Linked DNA regions of Macaca mulatta. The protein of the gene in region 5 interacts with the protein of the main gene of each other region in a pairwise test. Links are inferred from orthologs where the notes say so. Each region holds a gene or a part of one and is shown on either strand. Other genes may lie near its edges.

What was found.
Region 1: the proteins of KEAP1 (region 5) and MAD2L1 interact in binary tests that used the Homo sapiens proteins (3 or more experiments, as listed by UniProt). The two-hybrid records come from large-scale screens. The link is inferred for Macaca mulatta from reciprocal best matches to the Homo sapiens genes KEAP1 and MAD2L1.
Region 2: the proteins of KEAP1 (region 5) and WDR83 interact in binary tests that used the Homo sapiens proteins (3 or more experiments, as listed by UniProt). The two-hybrid records come from large-scale screens. The link is inferred for Macaca mulatta from reciprocal best matches to the Homo sapiens genes KEAP1 and WDR83.
Region 3: the proteins of KEAP1 (region 5) and CCNB1IP1 interact in binary tests that used the Homo sapiens proteins (3 or more experiments, as listed by UniProt). The two-hybrid records come from large-scale screens. The link is inferred for Macaca mulatta from reciprocal best matches to the Homo sapiens genes KEAP1 and CCNB1IP1.
Region 4: the proteins of KEAP1 (region 5) and HSP90AA1 interact in a two-hybrid assay, tested with the Homo sapiens proteins (2 studies listed by BioGRID). The link is inferred for Macaca mulatta from reciprocal best matches to the Homo sapiens genes KEAP1 and HSP90AA1.
Region 6: the proteins of KEAP1 (region 5) and PRKAG1 interact in binary tests that used the Homo sapiens proteins (3 or more experiments, as listed by UniProt). The two-hybrid records come from large-scale screens. The link is inferred for Macaca mulatta from reciprocal best matches to the Homo sapiens genes KEAP1 and PRKAG1.
Region 7: the proteins of KEAP1 (region 5) and ETF1 interact in binary tests that used the Homo sapiens proteins (3 or more experiments, as listed by UniProt). The two-hybrid records come from large-scale screens. The link is inferred for Macaca mulatta from reciprocal best matches to the Homo sapiens genes KEAP1 and ETF1.

What each region holds. Positions count from the first base shown.
Region 1 is NC_133410.1:128,906,774-128,911,071, reverse strand, and holds the start of MAD2L1 (mitotic spindle assembly checkpoint protein MAD2A), read left to right. Parts: upstream 1-1,498; 5' UTR 1,499-1,573; coding exon 1,574-1,646; intron 1,647-2,485; coding exon 2,486-2,632; intron 2,633-4,298. UniProt on the Homo sapiens protein: Component of the spindle-assembly checkpoint that prevents the onset of anaphase until all chromosomes are properly aligned at the metaphase plate.
Region 2 is NC_133424.1:13,219,518-13,223,686, forward strand, and holds the start of WDR83 (WD repeat domain-containing protein 83), read left to right. Parts: upstream 1-1,369; 5' UTR 1,370-1,442; coding exon 1,443-1,545; intron 1,546-1,628; coding exon 1,629-1,749; intron 1,750-1,831; coding exon 1,832-1,937; intron 1,938-2,222; coding exon 2,223-2,271; exon of another isoform or gene 2,272-2,272; intron 2,273-2,354; coding exon 2,355-2,481; intron 2,482-4,169. Other genes in the region: WDR83OS (PAT complex subunit Asterix), read right to left, coding at 19-85, 180-277, 780-885, 1,006-1,055. UniProt on the Homo sapiens protein: Molecular scaffold protein for various multimeric protein complexes. Acts as a module in the assembly of a multicomponent scaffold for the ERK pathway, linking ERK responses to specific agonists.
Region 3 is NC_133412.1:93,119,324-93,122,823, forward strand, and holds part of CCNB1IP1 (E3 ubiquitin-protein ligase CCNB1IP1), read right to left. Parts: coding exon 3,370-3,500; intron 2,146-3,369; coding exon 1,812-2,145; intron 1-1,811. UniProt on the Homo sapiens protein: Ubiquitin E3 ligase that acts as a limiting factor for crossing-over during meiosis: required during zygonema to limit the colocalization of RNF212 with MutS-gamma-associated recombination sites and thereby establish early differentiation of crossover and non-crossover sites.
Region 4 is NC_133412.1:175,437,709-175,441,972, reverse strand, and holds the start of HSP90AA1 (heat shock protein HSP 90-alpha), read left to right. Parts: upstream 1-1,464; 5' UTR 1,465-1,523; intron 1,524-2,121; coding exon 2,122-2,283; intron 2,284-2,372; coding exon 2,373-2,739; intron 2,740-3,059; coding exon 3,060-3,193; intron 3,194-3,487; coding exon 3,488-3,808; intron 3,809-3,923; coding exon 3,924-4,089; intron 4,090-4,264. UniProt on the Homo sapiens protein: Molecular chaperone that promotes the maturation, structural maintenance and proper regulation of specific target proteins involved for instance in cell cycle control and signal transduction.
Region 5 is NC_133424.1:11,220,694-11,224,193, reverse strand, and holds part of KEAP1 (kelch-like ECH-associated protein 1), read left to right. Parts: exon of another isoform or gene 1-441; 5' UTR 442-488; coding exon 489-1,127; exon of another isoform or gene 1,128-1,295; intron 1,296-3,500. UniProt on the Homo sapiens protein: Substrate-specific adapter of a BCR (BTB-CUL3-RBX1) E3 ubiquitin ligase complex that regulates the response to oxidative stress by targeting NFE2L2/NRF2 for ubiquitination.
Region 6 is NC_133416.1:56,182,775-56,187,074, reverse strand, and holds the start of PRKAG1 (5'-AMP-activated protein kinase subunit gamma-1), read left to right. Parts: upstream 1-1,500; 5' UTR 1,501-1,553; coding exon 1,554-1,562; exon of another isoform or gene 1,563-2,048; intron 2,049-2,938; exon of another isoform or gene 2,939-3,058; intron 3,059-4,300. UniProt on the Homo sapiens protein: AMP/ATP-binding subunit of AMP-activated protein kinase (AMPK), an energy sensor protein kinase that plays a key role in regulating cellular energy metabolism.
Region 7 is NC_133411.1:147,383,511-147,387,010, forward strand, and holds part of ETF1 (eukaryotic peptide chain release factor subunit 1), read right to left. Parts: intron 699-3,500; coding exon 560-698; coding exon of another isoform or gene 525-559; intron 1-524. UniProt on the Homo sapiens protein: Component of the eRF1-eRF3-GTP ternary complex, a ternary complex that mediates translation termination in response to the termination codons. The eRF1-eRF3-GTP complex binds to a stop codon in the ribosomal A-site.

The DNA.
Region 1 (4,298 bases), on a different chromosome or scaffold from region 5:
CCTTACTCTTCAAACTGATCAAAACATGATATACAACACTGTACAGGCAGAACTCTAAGCCAGTTCCCCACATTCCTGGCCCCTAGAGAGCACACCTACATAATCCCCTCCCCGGAGTCTGGGTAGGAAAACTACAAATATGAGCAGATATCACTTCTGGGACTAGGTTCATCAAAAGGGAGATGTGACTGGGTCTGACTTAATCAGGTGAGCCTTTAAAAGGGGCTGGGGTCTCCCCGAAATCACAGAGATGGGAAGTGTGAGAAGGCTTGTGGAAGGGCTAGCTGACAAACATAGCTGGCCTCTGGCCAACAGCTGGCGAGACAAAATGGACCTCAGTCCAACAACCCCAAGGAAATTCCGCCAGAGGGCTTAGAAGGACCCCAAACCTCAGATGAGATCCCACTTGCAGACCCTTCGATTTCAACCTTGTGTGACTGAGCAAAGCAGTCAACAATGCCACGTCCAGACTTCTGACCTACAGGACTGAGAAAACGAATAGGTGTTGTTTTGAAGTCACTGATGTGTGGTAATTCGTTATGCAGCAAACGGAAAACTAACAACACTCAAGTATTTCTCTTATAATGTCTGGCAGATATGAGAGTTTTTCAGGCGTCGTTTTACAAATATCTTCCTAGCTGCTTTAAGAATAAACTTCTTTCAAAATGGACATGAACATTAATTGTGCAATATGTCCTTAATAATTCTCACCCTTTTCAATGAAAAGTCATTGAGTTTGGTGAGTCAAGATTCATTGAAAAATTCTTCAATGTTGATGGGCCTCTTTGGTGAGGTGACCTTATTCCTGTCCTGCCCCCTAAGGGTGGGCAGGGTGGACAGAACGCAGCCTGGACTTCCGGATGCAGCCCCCTACCGCCCGACTTGCCTACCCCGCTGGCCTCGGAGGGGTGGCCCTAAGCCCAGGACAGACGTGGACAAAGGGCAGAAAAAAGGATGCAGTTCTCTTTAATCCCTAACCCAATTTCTCGGGAAAAGCCGCGCTCCCACACAGAAGGCGAACCCTCTAAAGCTGTGGGTTGGCTGCTGTGCACGTAGTCGCTTTAGGAATTCCCAAAGCATCTAGCGGAAGTTTAGATCTTTCACTAGGGGTCACATGGGCCAGTACGGGCGCAGCTGGCAAACCGTTCCTTTCAGTTTGAAAGTATCTTTGAAACTCGGAAACTGTGCTCCTTGGTCTTTCAGTTCATAAGCCTAGAGAGCGGCTACTGAAATTGGAATCGACATCTTCTTCCCTCGGCCCCAACTAGTAAACCACGACCAGAAGACACAGCCTAACCTAAACCTACCGGAGTGTCACAACCGGCAAGCGCGAGCAGGTCCACCAACTCCGCCTGCGCAAACCGGCCGTTCCCGCGAGATCGCAGGAAGGCGGAGAGAAAGGGCAGGGCCCCGCCGCGTGGGGCGGGGCTTAGAGGCTCGTCGCGCCTGCGCAGAGGACCGGACAACGCGCTGCGTCGTTACTTTTGAAACGCTTGGCGGGGAAGTGCTGTGGGAGCCGCTGTGGTTGCTGTCCGCCGAGTGCAAGTGCGTGCCTTTGTTTGTGTCCCTGGCCATGGCGCTGCAGCTCTCCCGGGAGCAGGGAATCACCCTGCGCGGGAGCGCTGAAATCGTGGCCGAGTTCTTCTGTAAGTCCTCGCGCCGGCCATTATATTGGGGGGAACTGAGTCGTGGCGGCTCAGTAGGCCCACAGCTCGGCCTCTGAGACCGGAGAAGTAATCTGGGAGCGGCGGCTGCAGGCTGTTCCTCCTGACGCGTTGCTATAACGTGGAGCTGCAAGCCTGCGTGCTGCTGGGGCCTACCTCGCGGCGTAGCCTCTTCCGGAGCGTTTCTTCCTTTAAGTGCAGATCCGTCCCACCTCCCACCCCTTACTTTCCGATACAGGACACAGCGTGACTGGGGTGGGTCCCAGTGTGGGTGTGTATGTGTGTGTTTTTTTTAACTGCGAGAGCACCCTCACCCTCCCACTCTAAGTGATTATTAGGCATGAGGCTGGCGGTAAACAAGATTTTGGGAACCCTTGTTCTCGAACAGGCCAGCTGCACGTTGTAAAGGAACCTGGCAGGATTTGGGAGGGAAAGGGGAAGATACAGGCTTGTCTGGAGCAAAGTGACTATTCAGTCAGTTGCTGACTCGAATGCAACAGCCTATTTTGACATCCTCTAGCCTCATAATCTGAATTTGGACTTGGATTACAATGAGGTGAAATTTGGCAATAGTAGGTTGATACACTTTGGCTTTTTTTTTCCTTGGCACGTGAAAACAATTATCTTTTTTTACTTAGATACAAGACTTTTAAGGATTTTTAATGCCACTTTGTACCTACTCTGCTTTCAGCAAGATACACGTGTGTTCAGTCATTTATAGCTGTATAGCCTAATGAAAATATAGCCACATCCAAATATATTTTATTTTCCAGAGTTATGCAGTGATAATGAATTTTCTGTAACATTTCTTTTGCTTGCAGCATTCGGCATCAACAGCATTTTATATCAGCGTGGCATATATCCATCTGAAACTTTTACTCGAGTGCAGAAATACGGACTCACCTTGCTTGTAACTACTGATCTTGAGCTCATAAAATACCTAAATAATGTGGTGGAACAACTAAAAGGTATTTAATCATTGGAAATAATTTGAGTCTTGCAGATTTTTTAGCATCTCAAGTGGTCATTTTTCCGCTCTGCAAATAGAAGTGTACTCACATCTCAAATATATTTTAAGTTGAGAGGAAGCAAATAATATATAAAATGGAAGAAATTCACTCTTCCCCCACTACATTGTGAGTGGGCTGAATATTTTGATGTAAGAAATCTGATATGGCTGAAAAATAGTCTTCATCAACTCCCTTAGAAGTGGCTTTCGCAGTTAATGTGGCCAAATGGAACAGGTTGGAATTTTACATAATTATAATGGTGTTCACTATCTGAGAAAATATACACTACATATTCTCAATATAATGTATTTTCTGTAACTAATTAGTTTTCTGTAGTCTAATGTTATCATTAGATTAATATCAAGGAAATTGGATTCAACCAGATAAACTTCAAAAAAAGAAAAAGATTAGCTGCTAAATGACAGAACACTCACAGTTTTTTTGTTTGTTTGTTTTGTTTTTCACATATTTCTGTTTGTCGTTTTCAAAAATTCTGCCGGTGATTCAGTAAGCCTTTTCTGTCTGAACGTTCGTTTTTCTTTAGTTCGAGAAATTGCTGTATTACCTGTCGGGTGAATACTTGTTCTTCATCTATTTCTTTTTCCTTTCTAGAATTCCTGTTAGTTTCTCTTTCTTGTTACCCTCCACTTAGGATTCTCATTTCTAATTTTTCAAATGTTTCTCCCATTTGATCTTCTAAAATTTTTGAAAGTACTACAGTGGGCATCTTTTTTTTTTTTTTTTTTTTTTTTAGAAATTATTTCTTTTGTTGTTGACCAGAAATGTGTCTTTGTTTTGCCGTTTTTATTGCATTTTTACTAACCTATTTTTAATATGCCCTTCCGATAATGGCCATGTGAACTTTTTTAGCTTGATAACTCTCTTTCAACCTATACTATCCTCTAGATAAACTGTTAACATTGCCTTGCCTTTTATGTGTACAGGAGTGGAATGCCTCAACAACCTGTGGATGTTACGTCTTAAATTGACAGGCAAGGGAAGATAGCCCTGTTGACATTTTGGCCTGGATATTTCTTTGGTGTGGGTGCTTTTCTGTGTGTTATAGAATGTTTACCAACATCTATGGCCTTTACTAACCAAATGCCAGTAACAAACCACCTTGCTCTGACAACCAAAAGTGTCTCCATAAATTATATTGCCAGATGTGCCCAAGGGGACAAAATTGCCCTTAGTTGAGAACTGCTGCTGTAGTAGATTGGTATTGTCAAAATAGCAAGATGAGACCTCTTTTGGTGTGGGAATAGACCTCTGTTCTCAAGTGTACACAGGAAAGACATTGATAGGAGTGTCCACCTCTCCCAGAGTTGCATCCAAAATTGGGGGTCAGGAATAAATCATCTGTAGTGATTCATAGGGCTGCACTCAGATCATTTGGCCTGGAACCTCTAGGCAACTATGGATGTGTGTTTCCATCTTAATTTGCTAGAGAAGCAAGCATTGCCTAAGCCAATGGTTTTTAGGTTGTCTTCTTTGAGACTGCATTGAAGCCAATGGTTTTTAGGTTGTCTCCTTTGAGACTGCATTGATGACACTTCACGTTATGTGTGTCTAGACCTTCCTATTTAACTTCTCCCTTTTATTTTAGTTAAAGTGGAAAAATTGC
Region 2 (4,169 bases), about 2.0 Mb from region 5:
GACCTTTCTAGGCTGATATCACCACGGGGGCGTCATGGGCTGAGGATTCTGCAGATAGGACATCACCACGGCAGAGATGGACAGCCTGAGACAGGAGAGAGGTGTCAGTCCAGGATGGGCAGGCTGGAGTCCCCCCACCCCTTACTCAAGAGTCACTCGTTCTCTCGGCCAAGTCTCACATGAAGCTACTCATCATTTGCTTCGTGTCCTCCGAGCTCCGAGAGTTGGCAAAGCTGATGAAGGAGCAGTAGACAGCGACCCAAGCACACCACTTCAGCTGGGGAAAGGTAGGTGGGTGGGCAGGTCAGTGAAAGGCACAACAATGAGTCCCGAAGCCACCTTTCCAGACACCAGTTCATGCCCACTGATTCCATCTGATGCAGCTGGGACCTTGCCCCCCGGAACTCCTCAGTCCCACCTGCTCATGGCATACTCCAGATACATGGTTTCTAGTCCTACTGCCTGGACTGCGTCTCTCAGGGCCAAGACTCTGACATCCCACATGCTTAAGACCCTGCCCCTTTCCACGAGTCCCCTCCAAGTTGCTTCAAAGCCTGGCCCCACCCGCAGACCAATCTGCCACATCCCCGCCCTGACCCGAATTCTTGACTTCACCAAAGACTGGGGCTTTCTTGGCCCAGCGTCATCCCAGCCCCACTCCCGGCCGATCTCAGGTCCTGCCTCATCAGCAATGACAAGACGCCCGGCTTCATTCCAAACCCGCCCCCGGGCCTCGTTCTCAGGTCCAACTACACCCACAGAAGCTCAATCCCGCCCACCTTAAGCATGAGGCCGCACATGCTGAAGATCATGCCCAGCAGGTTCATGTAGTCCGGCGTCGGGTCGTCCAAGGCCGGGTTACATTCGCTGGGCGGGGGCTTGTACCTGCGACAGGCTCGAGGGTCAGGGGCGCTCAGGTCCTGTCCCCGGGATAGACAGACGCTTCCCAGGGCCCCGATCCACACCCCCAACCCGAACCCGTGGCCACGACGCTGGCGTCCTCACCTAAGCACTTTGTTCGGCCTCCGTGGGTCCGACATATTGTTAGTAGACATAGCGACTCGAAGGCCAGGTCACGCCTCTTCCGCTGCAGAAATTGCAGCTTCCGGCGTGCAAGCTGAGGGCGGATTTTAGAGTCACACCCGAGGCCCTCACATTTCCGTTCCTCATGACAGAGACTTGGACTCCTCCTACCCAGAGATCGGAAATTTAGGAGAATCCAGAAGCCTTCCTTGCAAAGGGGAAATGGGGAAAAGAACCTGAAATCGGGCTTCAATAGTTCCAACAAGAGCACCCAAATGCCAAAATGATGAACCCGGAAGTGATAAACAGGAAGTAGTTCAGGAAGAACAATAATAAGGTTACACCCAAGCGTGGGTTTCGAAGGCGCGGAATCTTCCATACAGATCGATTTAAGGCGGCGAGGAAGGGGTCCTGGGACTATGGCTTTCCCTGAGCCAAAGCCGCGGCCTCCGGAGCTGCCGCAGAAACGGTTGAAGACGCTGGACTGCGGGCAAGGGGCGGTGCGAGCCGTACGATTTAATGGTGAGCGCCTTAGTATTCATTCCGGGTCCTCCTCCCGCCTCCTGAGGTCGGCGGCCCAGTAACCCCCGCCTGGTGTTCCCCAGTGGATGGCAATTACTGCCTGACGTGCGGCAGTGACAAGACCCTGAAGCTATGGAACCCGCTTCGGGGGACGCTGCTGCGGACGTACAGCGGCCACGGCTACGAGGTGCTGGATGCGGCCGGGTGAGCCGGGGGCCAGGCTGGGATGGGAGCGCTGAGGCTGGGATCCGAGGTCGATGCTGATCTTCCTCCTCCTTTACTCCAGCTCCTTTGACAACAGCAGTCTCTGCTCCGGCGGCGGGGACAAGGCGGTGGTTCTGTGGGATGTGGCATCAGGACAGGTCGTGCGCAAATTCCGGGGCCATGCAGGGGTGAGTGAAAGCCTGGAGACCCTCATTCGAGCGGAGGGGACCCGTATTAGCGCACAGGTGGTGATGAAGCCACCCCCATTACACCGTAAGGATCCCTTCCCCAGATGACGATCCCCCGCTCCGCATGCCAGGCTAGGCAGTCACCAACCCCTGTCCTTGCTGTTCCCCCAAAACCTTTCACCTCCCCTTCTAACCTTTGCCCTTGCTTTAACCGACACTGGGAACCCTGCCTTTATCCCAGTCCTCCAAAGTCCAGCCTCCTCTGAGTGGCAATAACTTTCTCAGAAGGTGAACACGGTGCAGTTTAATGAAGAGGCCACAGTTATCCTGTCCGGTGAGTCTGGGACCTACGCAGGGGGGTCCAGGATGCTGCCCTTCCCCTCCAAACCTGACCTCACCATCATGCTGGCCTCACAGGCTCTATTGATTCCAGTATCCGCTGTTGGGATTGCCGCTCACGGAGGCCTGAGCCAGTGCAAACGCTGGATGAGGCCAGAGATGGCGTGTCCAGTGTGAAGGTGTCAGACCACGAGGTCCTGACAGGGTGAGTGGAGCCAGGACCTGGTCTCAGCCGAGGTGCTACTGGGAATCATAGCTGCCCCCATGCTCAGATTAAAACCTACTCTCAGCTGGGCACAGTGGCACACAGCTGTAGTCTCAGCTACTTGGGAGGCTGAGGTGGAAGGATCACTTGAGCCCAAGAGTTTGAGGGACCACTGCACTCCATGCTGGGTGAAAGTGAGACTGTCTAAAAAATAAAATAATAATCAAGCCGGGCATGGTGGCTCACACCTATAATCCCAGCACTTTTGGAGGCCGAGGAGGGCAGATCACTTGAGGTCAGGAGTTTGAGACCAGCCTGGCCAACATAGTGAAATCCCGTCTCTACTAAAAATAAAAAAATTAGCCGGGTGTGGTGATGGGAGCCTGTAATCCCAGCTACTTGGGAGGCTGAGGCAGGAGAATCACCTGAACCCGGGAGTTGGAGGTTGCAATGAGCCGAGATTGTGCCACTGCACTCCAGCCTGGGCAACAGAGTGAGACTCCGTCTCAAAAAAAAAAAAAAGATAAAATGAAACGATTTAAAAAGTTAAATAAAAATAGACCGGGTGTGGTGGCTCACGCCTGTAATCCCAGCACTTTGGGAGGCTGAGGCAGGCGGATCCTGAGGTCAGGAGATCGAGACCATTCTGGCTAACACGCTGAAACCCTGTCTCTACTAAAAATTCAAAAAATTAGCTGGGCGTAGTGGCAGGTGCCTGTAGTCCCAGCTACTTGGGATGCTGAGGCAGGAGAATGGCGTGAACCCGGGAGGCAGAGCTTGCTGTGAGCCAAGATTGCACCGCTACACTCCAGCCTGGGCATCAGAGCGAGACTTCGTCTCAAAAATAAATAAACAAAACAAATTTAAAAAAATAATCATAAGGAAATTTTTTTTTTTTTTTTTTTTTTTTTTTTTTTTAAGATAGAGTCTGTGTCGCCAGGCTGGAGTACAGCGACGTGATCTTGGCTCACTGCAACCTCCAGCTCCCGGGTTCAGGCAATTATCCTGCCTCAGCCTCCTGAGTAGCTGGGACTACAGGCATACGCCACCACGCCTGGCTAATTTTTGTATTTTTAGTAGAGACGGGGTTTCACCATGTTGGCCAGGAGGGTCTCCATCTCTTGACCTTGTGATCCGCCTGCCTCGGCCTCCTAAAGTGCTGGATTTACAGGCGTGAGCCACCGCGCCCGGCCGAAATAATATATTTTCTATTCATTAAGTGGAAGTGAAGAGATCATCATAAAGATCTTCACATTGAGAAGGCGGAGGAGAAGGAGGAGGAGGGGTTGGTCTTGGTGTCTCAGGGCTGATAGAGGCAGAAGAAAATCCACATATAAGTGGACTGCTTCAGTTCAAACCCTGTTGTTCATGGATCAACTGTACTTTGAAAAGTGCTCCCTCTGGTGGCTGTGGGGGTGCAGGGAGACCAGAGCAGTCTAGATGATGGTGCTGGGTAGTGGGGAAAGTGGTGGGACTGAGTACTGAGGAGGAGGAGCTGGAGAATACAGAAGAGGGAATTGGGCCAGGTGGGGTGGCTCATGTCTGTAATCCCAGCACTTTGGGAGGCTAAGGCGGGCGGATCACCTGAGGTTGGGAGTTCAACACCAGCCTGACCAACATGGAGAAACCCTGTCTCTACTAAAAATACAAAATTAGCAGGGCATGGTGGCGCATGCCTGTAATCCCAT
Region 3 (3,500 bases), on a different chromosome or scaffold from region 5:
CCAAAGGTTTTTAAGAAATATAATCCCATTTTTCAAGTCATCCAGAGCATGAAGAACAGACTCTAAGACAACCCCAAATTATCATTGTCTCCTGGTACATACACCCTTGTGTAACTCCCTATCCCCTTGCATGTGGGCAGGACCTGTGACTACAATACTACATAAAATGTGACAGGTTGTCACTTCGTAAGTATATTACCTAAGACTATAAGGTCTGTCTTACTACGAGACACACTCCCTTGCTGGCTTTGAGGAGGCAAGCAGCCATGTCAGGAAGGCCCAAGAGGCAAGTAACTAAGAGTCTCTGGTGAATAGCCAGAAAAAAATTGAGGACCCAATGAATCTAGACAGATCTTACGCTTTTTGCAAAAATAAACTCAAAATGGTTTACAGACTTAAATGTAAAATGCAAAACTATAAAACTCCCAGAAGATAACATAGGATAAAATCTAGATTATCTTGGATTTGGCAGTGACTTTTAAAATATACCAAAGGTATAATCCATGAAAGAGAAAATTGATAAGCAGGACTTCATTCAAGTTAAAAATCTCTGCTCTGTGAAAGACCCTGTAAGAGAATGAAATGACAAGTCACGGATCAGGAGAGTATATTTGCAAAAGATAGCTCTGAGAAAGGATCAAAGAATACTTCAAACGCAGTAAGGATACAAAGAACACTTAAAACTCAACAATTAAAAAAATTTAAAAATAGACCAAAAACTTCATATACACCTCACCAAAAAAAAAAGGCAAAAAAGCATATGAAAAGATGCTCCACATCGTATGTCATCAGAGACATGGAAATTAAAATGAGATACCACTATACACCTATTAAAATGGCCAAGATCCAGAACATGGACAATACCAACTTCTGGCAAAGATGTGGAGCAACAGGTTCTCACTCATTGCTGCTGGCAATATAAAACGGTACAGCCACTTTGGAAGACAATTTGGCAGTTGCTTACAAAAATAAACATACTCTTACCACATAAGCCAGCAAAAACACTATTTGGTATTTAACCAAAGGAGTTGAAAAATACAGGAGCATGTAAGAGAAACAACTTACCCAGAAAAATATAATAAAAAGTTACTTAACAGATGACAAACATCCTTAATAAGTATAAGAGTATATGTAAGATATAACAATACATTCAAGGACATGCTTAAAGTTATCCACAGGGAGGTCTTTCAAAGGAAATACTAAAGTAGAAATCATAAAGGGAAGAAGTTAAGGATGTGTTATTTGATAAGAATGCTTATCATAGTATTTTAATAACTTGGAAATAAATTATGCTAAAAACAATATAACCATTAAAATATGATTATAGAATAGTTAACTAAAAAATATTTAACAAGATATTCACACCCAGTGGAGCATAGGCTACTCAGGAGGCTGAGGCAGAAGAATGGCTTGAACCCAGGAGTTAGAGACTAGCCTGGGCAACACAAGAAAACCCCATCTCAAAAGAAAGAAAAATACATACCAGATATATGTTGTCAACTCTGACAATAAAACAGTGTGTTATTATCTTACTTTTATACAGAAGACAGAGTGTGTGTGTGTGTGTGCGCGCGCATGTGTGTGTACCCAAAATATCAACAATGGTTATATCTGAGTGATGGAATTATGAGTGCTTTAATTTTCTTCCTTTTGATTTTCAACAATAAACATTATTGAAAACAAAACAAGCTAATAAGACAGTTTCTCATATACTCATAAAAAATAAATATAAAATAATGAAGAAAAGACACTAGAAGCTCCCACAAATGCCTGAAATTATATGTTCAAGAGAAACTAGACTAAGCACTAACCTGATATGTCCAGAAGGCCAGTGCTCGGGAGCTAATGTCCAACACGATCTCTGGTCGCAGTCCTGCCAATACCATAGCTTTATATTCCTCTGATGGACTGAGTTCTGTGCGGACAATATCTAGCTTTCCAGAAAGGGTACTGTTGCAGGCAGGACAGATAGCTGGTGAGCGACTAAACTCACCACTGCCATGCTGATCACAGAAGATGTGAGAGCAGGCAGTGACCCATGCATAGCCAGAGAGTTTGATGCGACACTTTCGATAATTACAAAGCAGCATGTCTTCACACAAAGACATAATAGGATAGTGAGGTCTCCAGAAGCTGAAGAGAGTCCTAATAAGGGGTAAATAAAAAGGCCAAGTAAGTTAAATTGCAATAAAAATAAAATAAATAAGTAAAAAATAAATATAACATGCATGTTTTTATTATAAAATACTGCACATTTTATTATATTCCTTGTATTTAGTATAATTGATATATTGATTTCAGTTACTCAATAATATTAATTGTGCTCCTTGTTTGTCCGGTTTTCTAAAAACACTTTAAGGATAAAGGTAAAGACAAAGGTGGTTACAGATCTTGCTAAAGTCAAAAATAATATATATGTGGGCCATGGGCAGTGGCTCACGCCTGTAATCCCAGCACTTTGGGAGGCCAAGGCAGGCAGGTCAGGAGTTCGAGACCAGCCTGGCCAACATGGGGAAACCCAGTCTCTATTAAAAATACAAAAATTAGCCAGGCGTGGTGGCTCAAGCCTGTAGTCGCAGCTACTAGGGAGGCCGAGGCAGGAGAATCACTTGAATCCGGGAGGCAGAGGTCGCAGTGAACAGAGATCGCGCCACTGCACTCCAGCCTGGGCGACAGAGCAAGAATCTGTCTCAAAACCAATATATAGGCCGGGCGCAGTGGCTCACCCCTGTATAATCCCAGCACTGTGGGAGGCCGAGGCAGACGGATCACGAGGTCAAGAGTTCAACACCAGCCTGACTAACATGGTGAAACCCCGTCTCTACCAAAAATACAAAAATTTAGCCTGGCGTGGTGGCGTGCGCCTATAGTCCCAACTATTTAGGAGGCTAAGGCAGGAGAATCGTTTGAACCCGGGAGGCGGAGGTTGCAGTGAGCCGAGATCGCGCCATTGCACTCCAGCCGGCGACAGAGCGAGACTCCACCTCAGAGAAAAAAAAAAAAAAAAAAAAAAGGTGCCTTGGCCCTCCGGGTCGACAGAAAGGAACACTTGGACACCTTTATCCCAGTAGCCCCGCTCAGTGAGTTTCCTCAGGTATGTCACCTGGCAGCCACGTTAAGAGGCCTATTTTACGTCCGGGGCAGAGGCGAAGCAGAGGAGCTGGGAAGCTTTAAAGCTGAGCCCTCGCTCAGGCAAGAGAGGCGCAGCTAATTCGAATCTTCCACCAGTTGGGAGTAAGCGCCTATCTAATGGCTGTACAAGCTGCGTGAGGGCCAAGTTTTAGAGAAACAGCCCCACAGAAATTACAGTCTGGAATTTTCAGTCAGCTTTCCGCGCTCAGTAGAGAAAATAATAATAACAAATGATACTTAATCTGAGGCTGAAAGAAAAAGCGCGGAAAAACTCCGTTGCCTCCACAGCTCCACAAGCGAAGATTCCAGGATTCTCTGCGCGAGTGCTCCAGGGAACTACACCAGAGCGCGCGTGCGTAGGGTTGCCC
Region 4 (4,264 bases), on a different chromosome or scaffold from region 5:
GCTGGGCAAGACGCTTTATGTTGATTTCACACACTCTTAAAGGGTCCCAGGCCGCAGTCTGAAAACCCCTGCTCCTGAGTAAGTTGGTTTCCCTAGAGACCAGGAAGCGGAGGTAGTTCCGTCGTTTGTTTACACGGTAAGGAGCTTCCAGATTATTCCGAGGACCTGGCTATGAGTTTAGGCAGGAGGAGGCCCAATCATGGGAGGCGCCAGAGAGGAAGAGGACATGGACGAGGCATGGGAGCCAAGTCTAAGGAACCCCAACACCTCTAAGGTTCTCATAGCTGGCCTTGACCAAAATATCTGAAAATTCTCATGTAGAAACTGGTTCTTCCAGCCTGAGCAACATGGTGAAACCCCAACTATACAAATAAATACAAAAACTAGCCGGGTGTGGTGTCCGCGCTTGTGGTCCTCCGCCCGCGCTCGTCCCAGTTACTCGGAAAGCTGAAGTAGGAGGATCACCTGAGCCCGGGAGGTCGAAGCTGCGGTGAGCCAAGATTGTGCCACAGCACCCCAGCCTGGGCGACAGAGGGACAGCCTGTCCAAAAACAAAAAAACACCAAACCTGTCTTTTAGGGAAGGTTAATCACCAAAATGTCAAGTGTTAGATACTTAATTTGGAGACCTCAAATCGATCGGCAAAACGATGGGCTTTTAAAAAGCATGCCGGGTGTAGCTGGGTAAGCATGAATTTATTCACCAAGGGCCCGATTCCCAAGCTAAGGGACCCTGAAGTGTGAAGGACATGGCTTCCGGGGAACCCAAAGGTAGGGAGCGCTCCTGAGCCAGCAGTGGGTCTGGAGACTCCCCGAGCGCGCAGGCCGCGGGACGGCGTCCCCTGCGCGCAGCAGCTAGAAGCCAACAGCCCAAAGGCCCCCAGGGAGCAGAGCCCCGCGATCCCGGCGCCGCCTGCGGCTGGATTTTTTGGCAGCGGGCGCGCCGTCCGTGAGGATGACGGCTCCGGTAGTCTCCCGGGCGTGCGAGACCCGGGGCGCTCCCCGTCCACGCACGGCCCTCCCTCCAGGCGCGCCTCCCGCCCCAGCCCCGCATTCTGCGCAGCCCGGGTGACCAAACTACACCTCACTTCAAAGGCCCCCACGCCCGGGCGTGCCCTCCGCCCGCGCTCGGCAGGTGGGAGTGCAGGGAGGAGGGCGCGGGCGGCCCCAGAAGGCGCCCGGACCTTCCCGAGAATTCCAGGCCGCGCAGGCGCATTGAGGTCGGCGCGGGGGCGTGCGAGAGGCGCGGGGCGGTGATTGAGGGAAGGTTTCCCGGGCTGGGCCATGAGCAGGGCCTGCGCGCGCCAGCGGGAGGGGCGGGCCACGGCGAGGGCGCAGGCGCAGGCGCGCGGCCGCGGCGGCGGTTGGGGAGGGTTCTTCCGGAAGGTTCGGGAGGCTTCTGGAAAAAGCGCCGCGCGCTGGGCGGGCCCGTCGCTATATAAGGCAGGCGCGGGGGCGGCGCGTCAGTTGCTTCAGCGTCTTGGTGCTGCTGTGCCGTGGAACGTTTGCAGCCTTTTAGCCAAGGTGTGAGGGGCGGTTGTGGGGGCCTGTGGAGGTGGATTGGGGAGTGGGGGCGGTTGGCGCGGAGCGGAGGCTGTGGGGGCCGAACGGGAGCCCTGAACCCGCCAGGGCCGCTCTCCCGGGAGGCCGCGCTGCCTATTCCGGAGGCCGTGGGCCCGCTGCTGTCTCCGCAGCCCGCCTCAGGAATGGGCTGGGCGGCTGCTCCCCGAGTCTCCGCGGCAGCCCCGGAGCTGGCGCCGCACGCGAGCAGAGCGGCCCTTTGGCTGGGGGCCCCCCGGGCGGCCCAGCTGGGGCGCAGGCGGAGGAGGCCGCCCTGGCGGAGCCGCGGCCCGCGCGGGAGGGCACACGGGGTGTCGGTTGGGGACCGCGGCGCGGGACTGGGCCGGGCCTGCAGTGGCCTCCCGGAAGCGCGCACACGCTCGTGGTAGTTACCGCGCTCCGAAATGAGGTCATCCTTTGTCAGCCGCCCTTCTATTTTCGGTTTACTTAAACTTCGCAAATCTGCAATCCGGCTTTAAAAATATTGGGAGGACGCGATGGAATCTCGTGTTGCCCCTGTAGACGCCCTGCAGGGTTTTAAACCGGCGCGGTGTCGTTCCAGATGCCTGAGGAAACGCAGACCCAGGACCAACCGATGGAGGAGGAGGAGGTTGAGACGTTCGCCTTTCAGGCAGAAATTGCCCAGTTGATGTCATTGATTATCAATACTTTTTATTCGAACAAAGAGATCTTTCTAAGAGAGCTAATTTCAAATTCATCAGATGTAAGTCGTTTATTAACCCAGAATAGGATTTTGGTTTCAATATGAACTTCTTGGGGGCTGTATGCTTAATTAATATTTTGTGTTAATAGGCATTGGACAAAATCCGCTATGAGAGCTTGACGGATCCCAGTAAATTAGACTCTGGGAAAGAGCTGCATATTAACCTGATACCAAATAAACAAGATCGAACCCTCACTATTGTGGATACTGGAATTGGGATGACCAAGGCTGACTTGATCAATAACCTTGGTACTATCGCCAAGTCTGGGACCAAAGCGTTCATGGAAGCTTTGCAGGCTGGTGCAGATATCTCCATGATTGGCCAGTTCGGTGTTGGTTTTTATTCTGCTTATTTGGTTGCTGAGAAAGTAACTGTGATCACCAAACATAACGATGATGAGCAGTACGCCTGGGAGTCCTCAGCAGGGGGATCATTTACAGTGAGGACAGACACAGGTAGGTACCTGAACACTCACTGGTTAAGTCAGTGGCGGAATGGTGGGGTGTTGCAACCCTTGGACCCCTGGGGATGCGGCGAAGTTCACAGAAAGTGTGTTTACCCAAGGATCAGGAACAAGCTAGAGCTCTGAATTAGTGTGTAATGGCATGACTTGGTGATTACTTCTTTTGGGCAAGGCACTTAGATCTGCTGTGGGAGCCTTTGCATCTGTAGTAAGGGCAAACCTCGCTTCATAGACACGTTATAAGGGTTAAGCATGGCGTTGAGCACTAAATTGAATGTATTATTGAGTCAATTTTCCTTATTTCTCTTGCAGGTGAACCTATGGGTCGTGGAACAAAGGTTATCCTACACCTGAAAGAAGACCAAACTGAGTACTTGGAGGAACGAAGAATAAAGGAGATTGTGAAGAAACATTCTCAGTTTATTGGATATCCCATTACTCTTTTTGTAAGTTTCTACATAATTGCAGAGTGAATTACTGTCTGTAGGTGACTGGGGTGACTGTACTACATCCTTAGTTCCTAGGTCTGTTGAACTAGTTTGAAGCCTGGGGAACCTAAGCTCTACTAACTGTGAAGGTTCCTCGGGTTATTAAGTAGATATATCAAATATTGATGAGAAGCTGCCTGGCTGCTTCTCATCCTCGGTAATTTAGGCTTTGGCCTTAGGTTGAAAGTAGTGGGGCAGCGCTATGACTTAGTTCTAGAGTGCAGCAGTGATGCGATTTCATGTCTTTTGAAGGTGGAGAAGGAACGTGATAAAGAAGTCAGCGATGATGAGGCTGAAGAAAAAGAAGACAAAGAAGAAGAAAAAGAAAAAGAAGAGAAAGAGTCTGAAGACAAACCTGAAATTGAAGATGTTGGTTCTGATGAGGAAGAAGAAGAAAAGAAGGATGGTGACAAGAAGAAGAAAAAGAAGATTAAGGAGAAGTACATCGATCAAGAAGAACTCAACAAAACAAAGCCCATCTGGACCAGAAATCCCGACGATATTACTAATGAGGAGTATGGAGAATTCTACAAGAGCTTGACCAATGACTGGGAAGATCACTTGGCAGTGAAGGTGAGTGAGGGACTGATGGATGCTTCAAGCTTGTCTTTAGATTATCATCCCACCACCCCAAATATCTGCTATAATGCATTGTTCATTGATACTTAGTGTGTTTGTTCTATTACAGCATTTTTCAGTTGAAGGGCAGTTGGAATTCAGAGCCCTTCTATTTGTCCCACGACGTGCTCCTTTTGACCTGTTTGAAAACAGAAAGAAAAAGAACAACATCAAATTGTATGTACGCAGAGTTTTCATCATGGATAACTGTGAGGAGCTAATCCCTGAATATCTGAGTAAGTATAGATAGGAAAAATAATCACTGTCACTGATTAAAGAAATACTTCTGGCTGGGCATGGTGGCTCACACCTGTAATCCTAGCAGTTTGGGAACCCGGGGTGTGCGGATCACTTGAGGTCAGGAGTTCAAGACAAGCCTGGCCAACATGGTGAAACTCCATCTCTCCTGAA
Region 5 (3,500 bases):
TGCTGTGTCTTCAGCACCCAGATCAGTGCCTGGCATACAGTAGGTGCCCAACAAATGGTGAGGCGAATGAAGGAATGAGCCCGACATGCTCTAGAAAGGGAAAGGCCACCAGATTACTGAAACAGAGTGATCAAAGGGAAGAGGTGGCAGGGGCTAATTGCGTAGGGCTTTGCAGGCTGTTGAGGAGTTCAGTTTTACTAGGTACTGTGGGAGGCGTTGGAGGATCCAGAGCAGGGGAGAGACATGACCTCATCTATGTTTTAAGATGGGCTCTTGGGCTGGTCAGGTCAGGGAGATGTTTGCAAATTTGCAAATGCACTCTGCTTCACCTACTCTGCAGGAAAACTGACCTAGGAATTGCTTTATCTTACAAAAGGAGACCCTGCAGGTGCTGGCCCAACCCCAACCCGTGCCCCCTGCCCTGTGCTCTCTCCCCTCCAGGCCCCTGAGTGCCAGAGGTGGTGGTGTTGCTTATCTTCTGGAACCCCATGCAGCCAGATCCCAAGCCTAGCAGGGCTGGGGCCTGCAGCCGATTCCTGCCCCTGCGGTCACAGTGCCCTGAGGGGTCAGGGGACGCGGTGATGTATGCCTCCACTGAGTGCAAGGCGGAGGTGACGCCCTCCCAGCATGGCAACCGCACCTTCAGCTATACCCTGGAGGATCATACCAAACAGGCGTTCGGCATCATGAACGAGTTGCGGCTCAGCCAGCAGCTGTGTGACGTCACACTGCAGGTCAAGTACCAGGACGCGCCTGCCGCCCAGTTCATGGCCCACAAGGTGGTGCTAGCCTCATCCAGCCCCGTCTTCAAGGCCATGTTCACCAATGGGCTGCGGGAGCAGGGCATGGAGGTGGTGTCCATTGAGGGTATCCACCCCAAGGTCATGGAACGCCTCATCGAATTCGCCTACACGGCCTCCATCTCCATGGGCGAGAAGTGTGTCCTTCACGTCATGAACGGCGCTGTCATGTACCAGATCGACAGCGTTGTCCGTGCCTGCAGTGACTTCCTAGTGCAGCAGCTGGACCCCAGCAATGCCATCGGCATCGCCAACTTCGCCGAGCAGATTGGCTGTGTGGAGTTGCACCAGCGTGCCCGGGAGTATATCTACATGCATTTCGGGGAGGTGAGCGGGGAGGTGGGGCTGGGGGCAGTGTCAGGAGAAGGACCAGGGATGGATGAGTGCTCATCACTGTTTCCCCTTGAGATGTGAAGGCAGGAACCTGGAGGAAAAGGAGGTTCTGGGCTGGGCACGGTGGTGTAGTCCCCACAGTTTGGGGGGCCTAGGTGGGGGGATTGCTTGAAGCCAAAAGTTCAAGACCAACCCGGGCAACATAATGAGACCCTGTCTCTAAACAAACAAACAAATAAATAAAAAACAACTGGGGGCCGGGCGCGGTGGCTCAAGCCTGTAATCCCAGCACTTTGGGAGGCCGAGGCGGGCGGATCACCTGAGAATGGGAGTTTGAGACCAGACTGACCAACATGGAGAAACCCCGTCTCTACTACAAATACAAAAAAATTAGCCGGGTATGGTGGTGCATGCCTGTAATGTCAGCTAGTCAGGAGGCTGAGGCAGGAGAATCACTTGAACCCAGGAGGCGGAGGTTGCTGTGAGCCAAGATCGCACCGTTGCACTCCAGCCTGGGCAACGAGAGCGAAACTCAGTCTAAAAAAAAACAAAAAAAAAAACTGAGGCCAGCCGTGGTGGCTCACGCCTGTAATCCCAGCATTTTGGGAGGCTGAGGTGGGTGGATCAGCTGAGGTAAGGAGTTCAAGACCAGCCTGGCCAACATAGAGAAAACCCATCTCTACTAAAAATATAAAAATTCGCCAGGCCTGGTGGTGCGCGCCTGTAGTCCCAGCTGCTCAGGAGGCTGAGGCAGGAGAATCACTTGAACCCGAGAGGCGGAGGTTGCAGTGAGCCGAGATCAAGCCACTGCACTCCAGCCTGCGCGACAGAGCGAGACTCAGTTTCAAAAAAAAAAAAAAAAAAAATTAAAAAACAACTGGGGTTCTGAGTTCCTTGTCTACGCATGTGGGGACACTGGTGAACAGCTGGGGAAGGTGAGGTCTTCATGTGTCTCTGGGCTCCCTAGTTTCTCTGGGGTCAAAGGTGGGGACAGAGTGCAGTGAAAAGCAGCCAAATCCTGGGGCAGCCCAGCCTTTCGGACAGTCAGCAAATGTTTATTGGACACCCATTACAGGTTGCAAGCTGTAAGCCTGAACCTTAGTCATGTTTTCTTTGGTCCACGCAATGTCTTTACCATTTTTGGTTTCATTTTCGTTTCTCTGAAGGAAATTATCTATAGAAATTGATAAGAGAGGGCAGGGCCCGGTGGCTCATGCCTGTAATCCCAGCACTTTGGGAGGCTGAGGCGGGTGGATCACCTGAGGTCAGGAGTTTGAGACCAGCCTGACCCAATGTGTTGAAATCCCATCTCTATTAAAAATACAAAAAAAAGGCCAGGCGCGGTGGCTCAAGCCTGTAATCCCAGCACTTTGGGAGGCCGAGATGGGCGGATCACGAGGTCAGGAGATCGAGACCATCCTGGCTAACACAGTGAAACCCCGTCTCTACTAAAAAATACAAAAAACTAGCCGGGCGAGGTGGCGGGCGCCTGTAGTCCCAGCTACTCGGGAGGCTGAGGCAGGAGAATGGCGTAAACCTGGGAGGCGGAGCTTGCAGTGAGCCGAGATCCGGCCACTGCGCTCCAGCCTGGGCGACAGAGCAAGACTCTGTCTCAAAAAAAAAAAAAAAAAAAAAAAACAAAAAAAAAAACTAGCCAGATGTGGTGGCATATGTGGTGGCATAGTCCCTGCTACTTGAGAGGCTGAGACAGGAGAATCGCTTGAACCGGGGAGGTGGAGGTTGCAGTGAGCCGAGATTGCACCATTGCACTCCAGCCTGGGTGACAGAGCGAGACTCTGTCTCAAAAAAAAAAAAAGCCCTGGCACAGTGGCTCATGCCTATAATCCCAGCACTTTGGTGACGCCCCGCCTCTACTAAAAAACAAAAAATTAGCTGGGCGTAGTGGTGGGCGCCTGTAGTCCCAGCTACTCCAGCTACTCGGGAGACTGAGGCAGGAGAATGGTGTAAACCTGGGAGGCGGAGCTTGCGGTGAGCAGAGATTGCGCCACTGCACTCCAGCCTGGGCGACAGAGCGAGACTCCATCTCAAAAAAAAAAAAAAGATTTTAAGACCAGCCCTGGGTGCAGTGGCTCATGCCTATAATTCCAGCACTTTGGAAGGTGAGGGGAGTGGACCACTTGAGGTCAGGAGTTCTAGACCAGCCTGGCCAATGTGGTGAAACCCAGTCTCTACCATAAAAATATGAAAATTGGCTGTGCATGGTGGCACACACCTGTATCCCCAGCGACTCAGGAAGCTGAGGTGGGAAGATCGTTTGAGCCCAGGAGTTCAAGGCTGCAGTGAGCTATGATCGTGCACTCCAGCCTAGGTGACAGAGCCTGTCTCAAAAGCAAAAACAGTCCAGGT
Region 6 (4,300 bases), on a different chromosome or scaffold from region 5:
CACTCCCCACCCCCTGGCTGTGACTGCTGTAAGATGGGGGTATAGAGGCTGGGCAATTCCCACCCCCTGTTGTATAGTTGGACTATGTTATAACGCACAAAAGAGAGCTGACCCCAGGGGGAGCCAGAGGGTGATGGGTTCCTTGCCTCCCTTTCCTTCCCCTTTCTGCCCAAGCTTGTGCTGCAGTTTAACCTCTTCCTGGGGGTGGGGGTAGGTAAGGGGTGGGTGACACCCCAAACCCCTCTCTGGTAGGGAACCGTGGGGATGAAGATGAAGCTTATATGCAGTTCTCTTCTAGGGGCTGTGGGCAAAGGGCATTTTGTAATTAATATTTTCAAGAATCCGATGTCTGGAGTGTAGGGGTGGGCTTGGTGGTGGTGGACGGGCGGGCCTGCTGGAGGGGGAGCTTGGTGGCTGTTGTGATTTTAGGTTTGTTTTTGTTTTGTTTTGAATTTGGGGAGTTGTGGATTGTTGGGGGTAGGGAGATTTTTTTTTTTTTTTTTTTTTTAAAGCTGCTTCCTCAACTGTTTCAAGCTGCAAATGTTTAAGAGAATAACACCCCCCACTCCCACAGGAACCGCTGTAATTAAATCAGACAGCAGGAAGACTGGGCTGCAGCCCTCAAAGCCACAGCCCTTGATGTTCCTTTTCGGAGAGCAATAGGTCTAGGCTACAGGGAGGGGGAGATTGGCTCCCGTGAGTCAGGCTGTGTTTGGGGCTTGGGCCCTGGGATTGGGAAAAGGGGATGGGGCAGACTTTGTAAGCATATGCTAGGTATCCGATAGTCCTGTAGAATTTAGTGAAGAAACCTTATACAGTTTTTAATTTTTATATAAACTATAACTCAGACCCAAGCTACAAGGTTGGAATTTTGGTTGGTTTTTTTTTAAGTACCCTGCCTGTATAATTGCATCAGAATCCCCCACCCCCCCGTGTTTGTATTTTGGGTTGGTTTACACTCGCACATACTCAATTTTCAGTTTTCCCCTTTACAGTCTTCTCCCCTCACCTCCAGGACCCTCCCCCTTTTTAAAAAATAAATCGCTGACAAGTGTGAATCCCGTGAAGACTTTATTTTGTGTTGTGTGTATCCTGTACAGCAAGGTTGGTCCTTCGTAACAACGGATGAAATGGTTCCCTTTTTTAAAGCGCCCTCTCTCCCTCCACCCTCAGCGCCCCTGTCCTTGGCATGTTTTGTATCAGCGATCATTCTGAACTGTACATAATTTATGTTGCGAGAGGCAAAGGGCAAGTTTTGGATTTTGCTTCTTCCAAGTTTGTTTTTAAACGACAAATAAAAAAAGAACATTTTAAATACAAGCGGCTCCGTCCCGTGACCCTCGCCGTCAGCCGGATCCGTGCGGTCCGAGAGGACCCGGGGGAGGGCGGTTACCGAGGCCCGCCACCGCCGGAAGGGTGGGTTCCACGCCTTCCGCCGTAGTCTGGCGACTGCCGTGACGTGGGCGGAAGTGGCGTCGCCGCACCGGATGTGGGGCGTGGCCTTCCCCAAGAGAGTTTCCTAAAGCGAGAAAACCAAGCCGGCGCCTCTTGCAATGGAGACGGTGAGGAGCGCAGGAGGGCGGTCGGGGGCGCTGTAGAGCCTAAGACCCCGCTTAGGAGACCGGGAGGGCCGGGCAGGGGCTGGCGCTGGTGTCTAGCAAACAAAAAGCAGCCGGGTGTCTGCCCTATCCCGTGACCGTGTCCCTCCGCTTCTTCGTTGGGCGCATCTCCTGGGACTGGGCCGCGCCCCCGCCGCCTTTCCGTACGCGGTACCCTTAGCCCAAGCAGGCAGTGACTCCTGGCCCTCCTTGGAGCCCACGTAAGCCGTGGCAATCTTGGGCTTCCTTTCCTCTTAGCACCTCAAGCCCTTTTAGAGGTTTGAGAGCGCGGGGTTGTGATGCGGCTTTGCTGGGTGAGGCAGGGGGTGTCCAGAGGGATCTCCGCTTGCAGGTAGCTGCTGGACCTCGGTAGTCTTTCTGTGATCCCTGCAATCCCTGGCAGGAGGACATCTGAAGATCTTTATACTGCATCCAGTGAAGTCACATTCCCTTAATAAGACCGAGAATTGAGGTTTGCTTGAAAGAGGAAAACTTGCAGTGTTAGAGGCCGATGTGTCCCTGGACAAGTTTAGGTCATGGCCCGCTCTGCGACTCTAAGCAGGAGTTTTGGCACAGCGCATTCTTGGCGAGCAGGCATTGACCAGTTGTGGCAGGGCCCTGTCACCCTCCCACAGATGCCGCGGGTTGCCTGCTGCATGTTTGCACCCACCCTCACTCTCAGGAGTCTTTTTCTAGCGCTCTGTAACCCCTCCCATACACTTCCCTCTCCACAGTTTTTAACCATGTGTCTTCTTTCAGGCAGAGTAACTCTTCCCATCTTGGTTTTTATCATTTGCTACTGTAGTTATGAAAGGACTGCAGGTTCACTTTGCTTTGGATTACATGCCCATAGTAATTCTTTGCCACACCCTTTCTCTGCCCACAGAGAGGTTGTTTCTTTCAGGTTTTTGAAAAGAAAACCGACCAAAGTACTAAAACGATTCGCAGTTGGTCTCCCAGGCAAGGGAGCCAGTTCTGACTAATCAAGATAATCTTGAACAAAAATAAGGAGTCTAATTCCATTAAATTTAAAATAACATGTCATATTCTACTTACTTGTGAGTGTAGTATGGTTTACAGAGCATTTTTATGTAGATTTTCTAATTTAGCCTTCACACTTTATGTACTGGATTAGGCTCTGGGGTAGAAGTTAAAAAGAGGAAAAAGAAAACAGCCAGGTGTGGTGGCTCATGCCTGTAATGCCAGTACTTTGGGAGGCTAAGGCAAGTGGATTGCTTGAGCTCAGGAGTTCAGCACCAGTCTGGGCAACGTGATGAAACCCTGTCTTGACAAAAACAAAAACACAAAAATTACCCAGGCATGATGGTGGTGGTGCATACCTGTAGTCCCAGCTACTCTGGAGGCTCAGGTGGGAGGATTGCTTGATCCAGGGAGGTGGAGGCTGTAGTTAGCTGAGATCATGCCACTGCACTCCACTCTGAGTGACACAACGAGATCCTGTCTCCAGAAAAAAGAAAAAGAAAACTCCTGCTTTGAAAATGTTCAGCCTAACTGGAGTAAGGGTGAGGGCAAGCCAGCAACAGCTGTTATTTAAAGGTAGACTATAATAAATGCTATCATTAATATGAAAACAAAGGACTGTGACAGAATAGTTGAGAGAAAAATTACTTTGGACCTAGGAGAGGGCACTGCAAATTGAGAGAACAGTATGAGCAAGGGCACTGAAACTGGGGGATGTGGAGAATTGGGGGTGAGCCAGCGGCTTGGTGTTGCTGGCTTTGGATTTTGGTCACAGTGAGAGAAAAGACTGGAAAAGTAGGCTAAGATCAGGTTGAAGGTATTACACACCATGCTAAATTTGAACTTTGTTTTGTAATAGGGGACCCATGGAAGATTTATGAGCAAGTCAGTGAATGTCTTTTAGGAATGTTCATAGCAGCTTTCTGTACATGGACTGAGCTACTTCGGAAAGTAAAGTTTCTTGTTAATGGAGATGAAAGCCCCTTCCAAACCTGAGATGCTTTGGTGAAAGCACGAAAGACAAATTGAAAAGCAGAGAGATATGGGCCAAGGACCCCAATTTAAACAGTCTTGCAGAAGTGAGAGGTAAAAGCCTAAATTAAGGCTGTAAAATTGGCAATGAGAGAGATATAGATCTGAGGCATTTATAACATTACCAGCTTAGCTGATAACTGGTAAGAAGACAGCTGTATAAAACAGAAAAAACAAGATGGGAACTACAGCAAGAATAATAGGATTGGAGGGACAAATGTTTTGTTTCGTATTGAAGCATTTGAGGAGTCTCTGTGACATCTATGGTTGTCAAACAAATAATTGGAAACGTAGATCAGAAGTTTGGAAGAAATTGCGAGTCTGTTTGTCAGATGTAGACTGTGTCTCTGTAATATTTTGTACTTACGTGGTACAGTTGTACTTTCTCAGGTCCCCTATGTTATTAAAAGTAGAAAGGAGGCCAGGCACAGTGGCTTATGCCTGTAATCCCAGAACTTTGGGAGGCCAAGGTGGGCGGATCACTTGAGCCCAGGAGCTCAAGACCAGCCTCGTCAACATAGCGAGACCCCATCTCTACAAAAAAATACAAAAAGTAGCTGGGCTTAGTGGTGTGTGCCTGTAGTCCCAGCAGCCCAGGAGGCAGAAGTCAAAGGATTGCTTGAGCTGGGGAAGTTGAAGATACAGTGATCTGTAATCATGCCACTGCACTCCAGCCTGGATGACAGAGT
Region 7 (3,500 bases), on a different chromosome or scaffold from region 5:
TAAAATAATCATGTCATCATCCAAGAAAAGGACAAAGAAAAATCACCATTCCCTTAACTAAACGTTTAGCATAAACTGCTACTTGTTTTCAGAGAGCGACTACTAATTCTATGTCAAGAGAAGAGCCATAAGCACCAGTGAGGCACCCGTCATTCCGGGAGGCTTCTCTCCCTATCATCTGGATTCACTCCCCTCACATCATACTGTTTTCTCTTTTTTTCTTTTTTGAGACAGAGTCTTGCTCTGTCGCCCAGGCTGGAGTGCAGTGGCACAATCACAGCTCAATGCAACCTCCATCTCCCGGGTTCAAGCAATCCTCCTGCCTCAGCCTCCCAAGTAGCTGGAATTATAAGCACCCGTCATATTTTTGTATTTTTAGTAGAGACAGGGTTTCACCATCTTGGCTGGGCTGGTCTCGAACTTCTGACTTCGTGATCCACCCGGCTCGGCCTCCCAAAGTGCTGGGATTACAGACATGAGCCACCGCACCCGGCCCATCATACTGTTTTCTTATTGCTAGACACAAAGTAAGTGGGTTCATGTTCTCCTCCTGTATTACCGTGTTTCTTTGGGAGATCCACAGTGAATTTGTGCAGGACTTCTCTTGTGTTTCCTTGGAGTGTGCCAAAAAGTGCACCACTACCATCTATTACAATGAATCCAAACTTGCTATCATCTGAAAGTAGTGCTGTAAGAGCCTGAAAAGCAAACACAAGTACCACATGGTGAATCCCAAAGCTTTGCTAAGGTCAAAAAAACTCTGAGAAAGGACATATACAAGCCCTTTCACTCCACTCACCATGTTATTAGCACTGTGGAAAAACCATTCTATGGAATAATTTATAGACTTCAGTTATAATCATGTAACTCTTATGGACAAATCTGAACCCAATAAGGAAATAACGGATGGTATCTATGTGAAGCTTTTCAACATATTTGACATGGGCATGTAAATATAAAAGCACAAAGATATCTGTATGCCCATGTTTATAGCAATATTACACACAGCAGTTAATACTACTCAATCTCAAAAAGAAAGAAAAATTTGAAACATGCTACAATAGGGATGAAACTTGAATACATGCTAAGTGAAATAACCCTGTCAAAAAAAGGACAAATACTGCATGATTCCACTTATATGAGGTACCCGGCGTAATCAAAATCAGAGACAAAAAGTCAAATGGTGGTTGCCAGGGGCTGGAAAAAAGGGGGAACAAGGAATTACTGCTCAACGGATATAGTTTCAGTTTTGTAATACAGAGTTCTGAGCTGGGTGTGGTGGCTCACACATGTAATCCCAGCACTTTGGGAGGCTGAGCTCAGGAGTTTGAGACTGGCCTGGGCAACACAGCAAAACACTGTCTCTACAAAAAAAAAAAACAAAAATTAGGTGGCCGTGGTGACACGTGCCTACCAGCTACTTGGAATGGCTTCAGTCAGGGAGGTGTAGGTTGACAGTGAGCCAAGACTGTGCCACTGTACTCCAGCCTGGGTGATAGATCCAGAGACCCTGTTTCAAAATACAAAAAAACTTTAACTTGTTCCTTTTTTTCTTTTTTTTGAGACGGTCTCACTTTGGTGGCCAGGGTGGAGTGCAGTGGCCATGATAGCTCACTGCAGCCTCGAAGTCTTGGACTCAAATGATCCTTCTGTCTTAGCCTCCCAAAGTGCTGGCGTTACAGGCATGAGCCAGCATGCCTTTAAAGGTAGTACAGCTAGTGATTCAGAGTTTTATGAGGAAAACCTTCCTTATATGTTAACTTTATATCCCCATTATTTATGCCTTCCCAAAGAGAAAATATTGAAACAGTCCTGGGACATACATAGATAAGAGTTCTCACAATGGAATTGGAATACTACACACTTAGTAGATCTCTAACTGCCAGAGGACAATCTCTTTGGAAGTAAGAAACTGTTACCCATTCCGTTTTATTTTTATAAACTGATCCTCCTGTTTGGCCTCCCAAAGTGCTGGGATTACATGGGTGTGAGCCACAAAACCTGGCCTTACCATTCCATTTTAGGAAAACAGCCCCTTCAATAACTGACTAGAAAGCAGATGGATCAACTAAAAATCCATCTTTAACAAAACCATGCTAGATAGTTAGCATTAAGATATGAATATTGTGGCTGGGAGTGGCGGCTCATCCCTGCAATGGCACTCTGAGAGGCCAAGGTGGGTGGATCACTTGAGGTCAGGAGTTTCAGACCAGCCTAGCCAACATAGTGAAATCTTGTCTACTAAAAATACAAAAATTAGCTGGGCGTGGTGGTGCACACTTGTAATCCCAGCTAGTCTGGAGGCTGAGGCAGGAGAATCACTTGAATTCAGGAGGTGGAAGGTGCAAGGAGCCGAGATCGTGCCACTGTACTCCAGCCTGGGCAACAGAGCAAAAATCAATCTCAGAAAAAAAAAGAGAAAAAAATAGGCCTTGAATATGAATATTGCACATTAATAATACAGCCTTATCAAAATGACCTGTTAGGTAGATTGAAGTTTTCAATAAATCTGCTTATCAGGGAACAGGCTTATCCCTTATTAGAATATATAATTACCCTGATAAACGGGATATAACCCTCTCAGTTAAAGCTAAAATGTACAAAGTTAGCAAGATTAAACAGTATCTTAGAAAAGGAGTTAAGGTTTGGAAAAAAGCCAATAAGGCTAACTCAGTAAGTGAGCAAAAGCCAGACAACATGGGTACCTGGCACTGTTTAAATCAACAAGATTCAAAATCTGCTTTCATCCAACCAGATACAGGTAAGTGGTTTCAGTGGCTAAGAGGCTCCCTGAAGAACCATCTGCTGTAAGTACAGTGTGGTAGTGAAGAGAAAAACAGTCTGGATTGTCTATGTAGTCGACCAAGATCCAACTATAAATGGACTTCCCATCAAGTTAGCAAAAATCATCTATTGTAAACTGTCGACAAATGTCAGTTCTAATTCCACTGTAGAGGTTTTTCCTAGGTTGATGAAAGGCAAGAGACTGAACTAGGAGCCAGCTGTGAATTCGTGATTGTTCTACTGTTGACTGATTTAGGTCACTCTAATGAGGTTTCCTTTCCACCGTTCAAGTTCATCTTATGGCAGCTTTGTCACTCAAAAGTTTCATGGGGAAAGGGAGAAAATGAGTTCTTACAGTTTTGCTACTAAAAAGTTTACAATTTGTTATGTGAAAACTGAGTGCAATAACTCAAAGAGTATAACTGGACTGCTTGTAACACAATGGACACACACTCGAGGAAATGGGTACTCTATTTTCCATAGTGTGATAGCTCACATCGCATGCCTGTATCAAAACATCTCATGTACCCCACATACACCTACTATGTACCCACAAAAATTAAAAAAAAAAAAATACACACACACACACACACACACACACACACACACTTTGGGAGGCTGAAGCGAGCAGATCACTTGAGGCCAGGAGTTTGGGACAAGCCTGGCCAACATGGCAAAACTCTGTCTCCACTAAAAAAATACAAAAAATTAGCCAA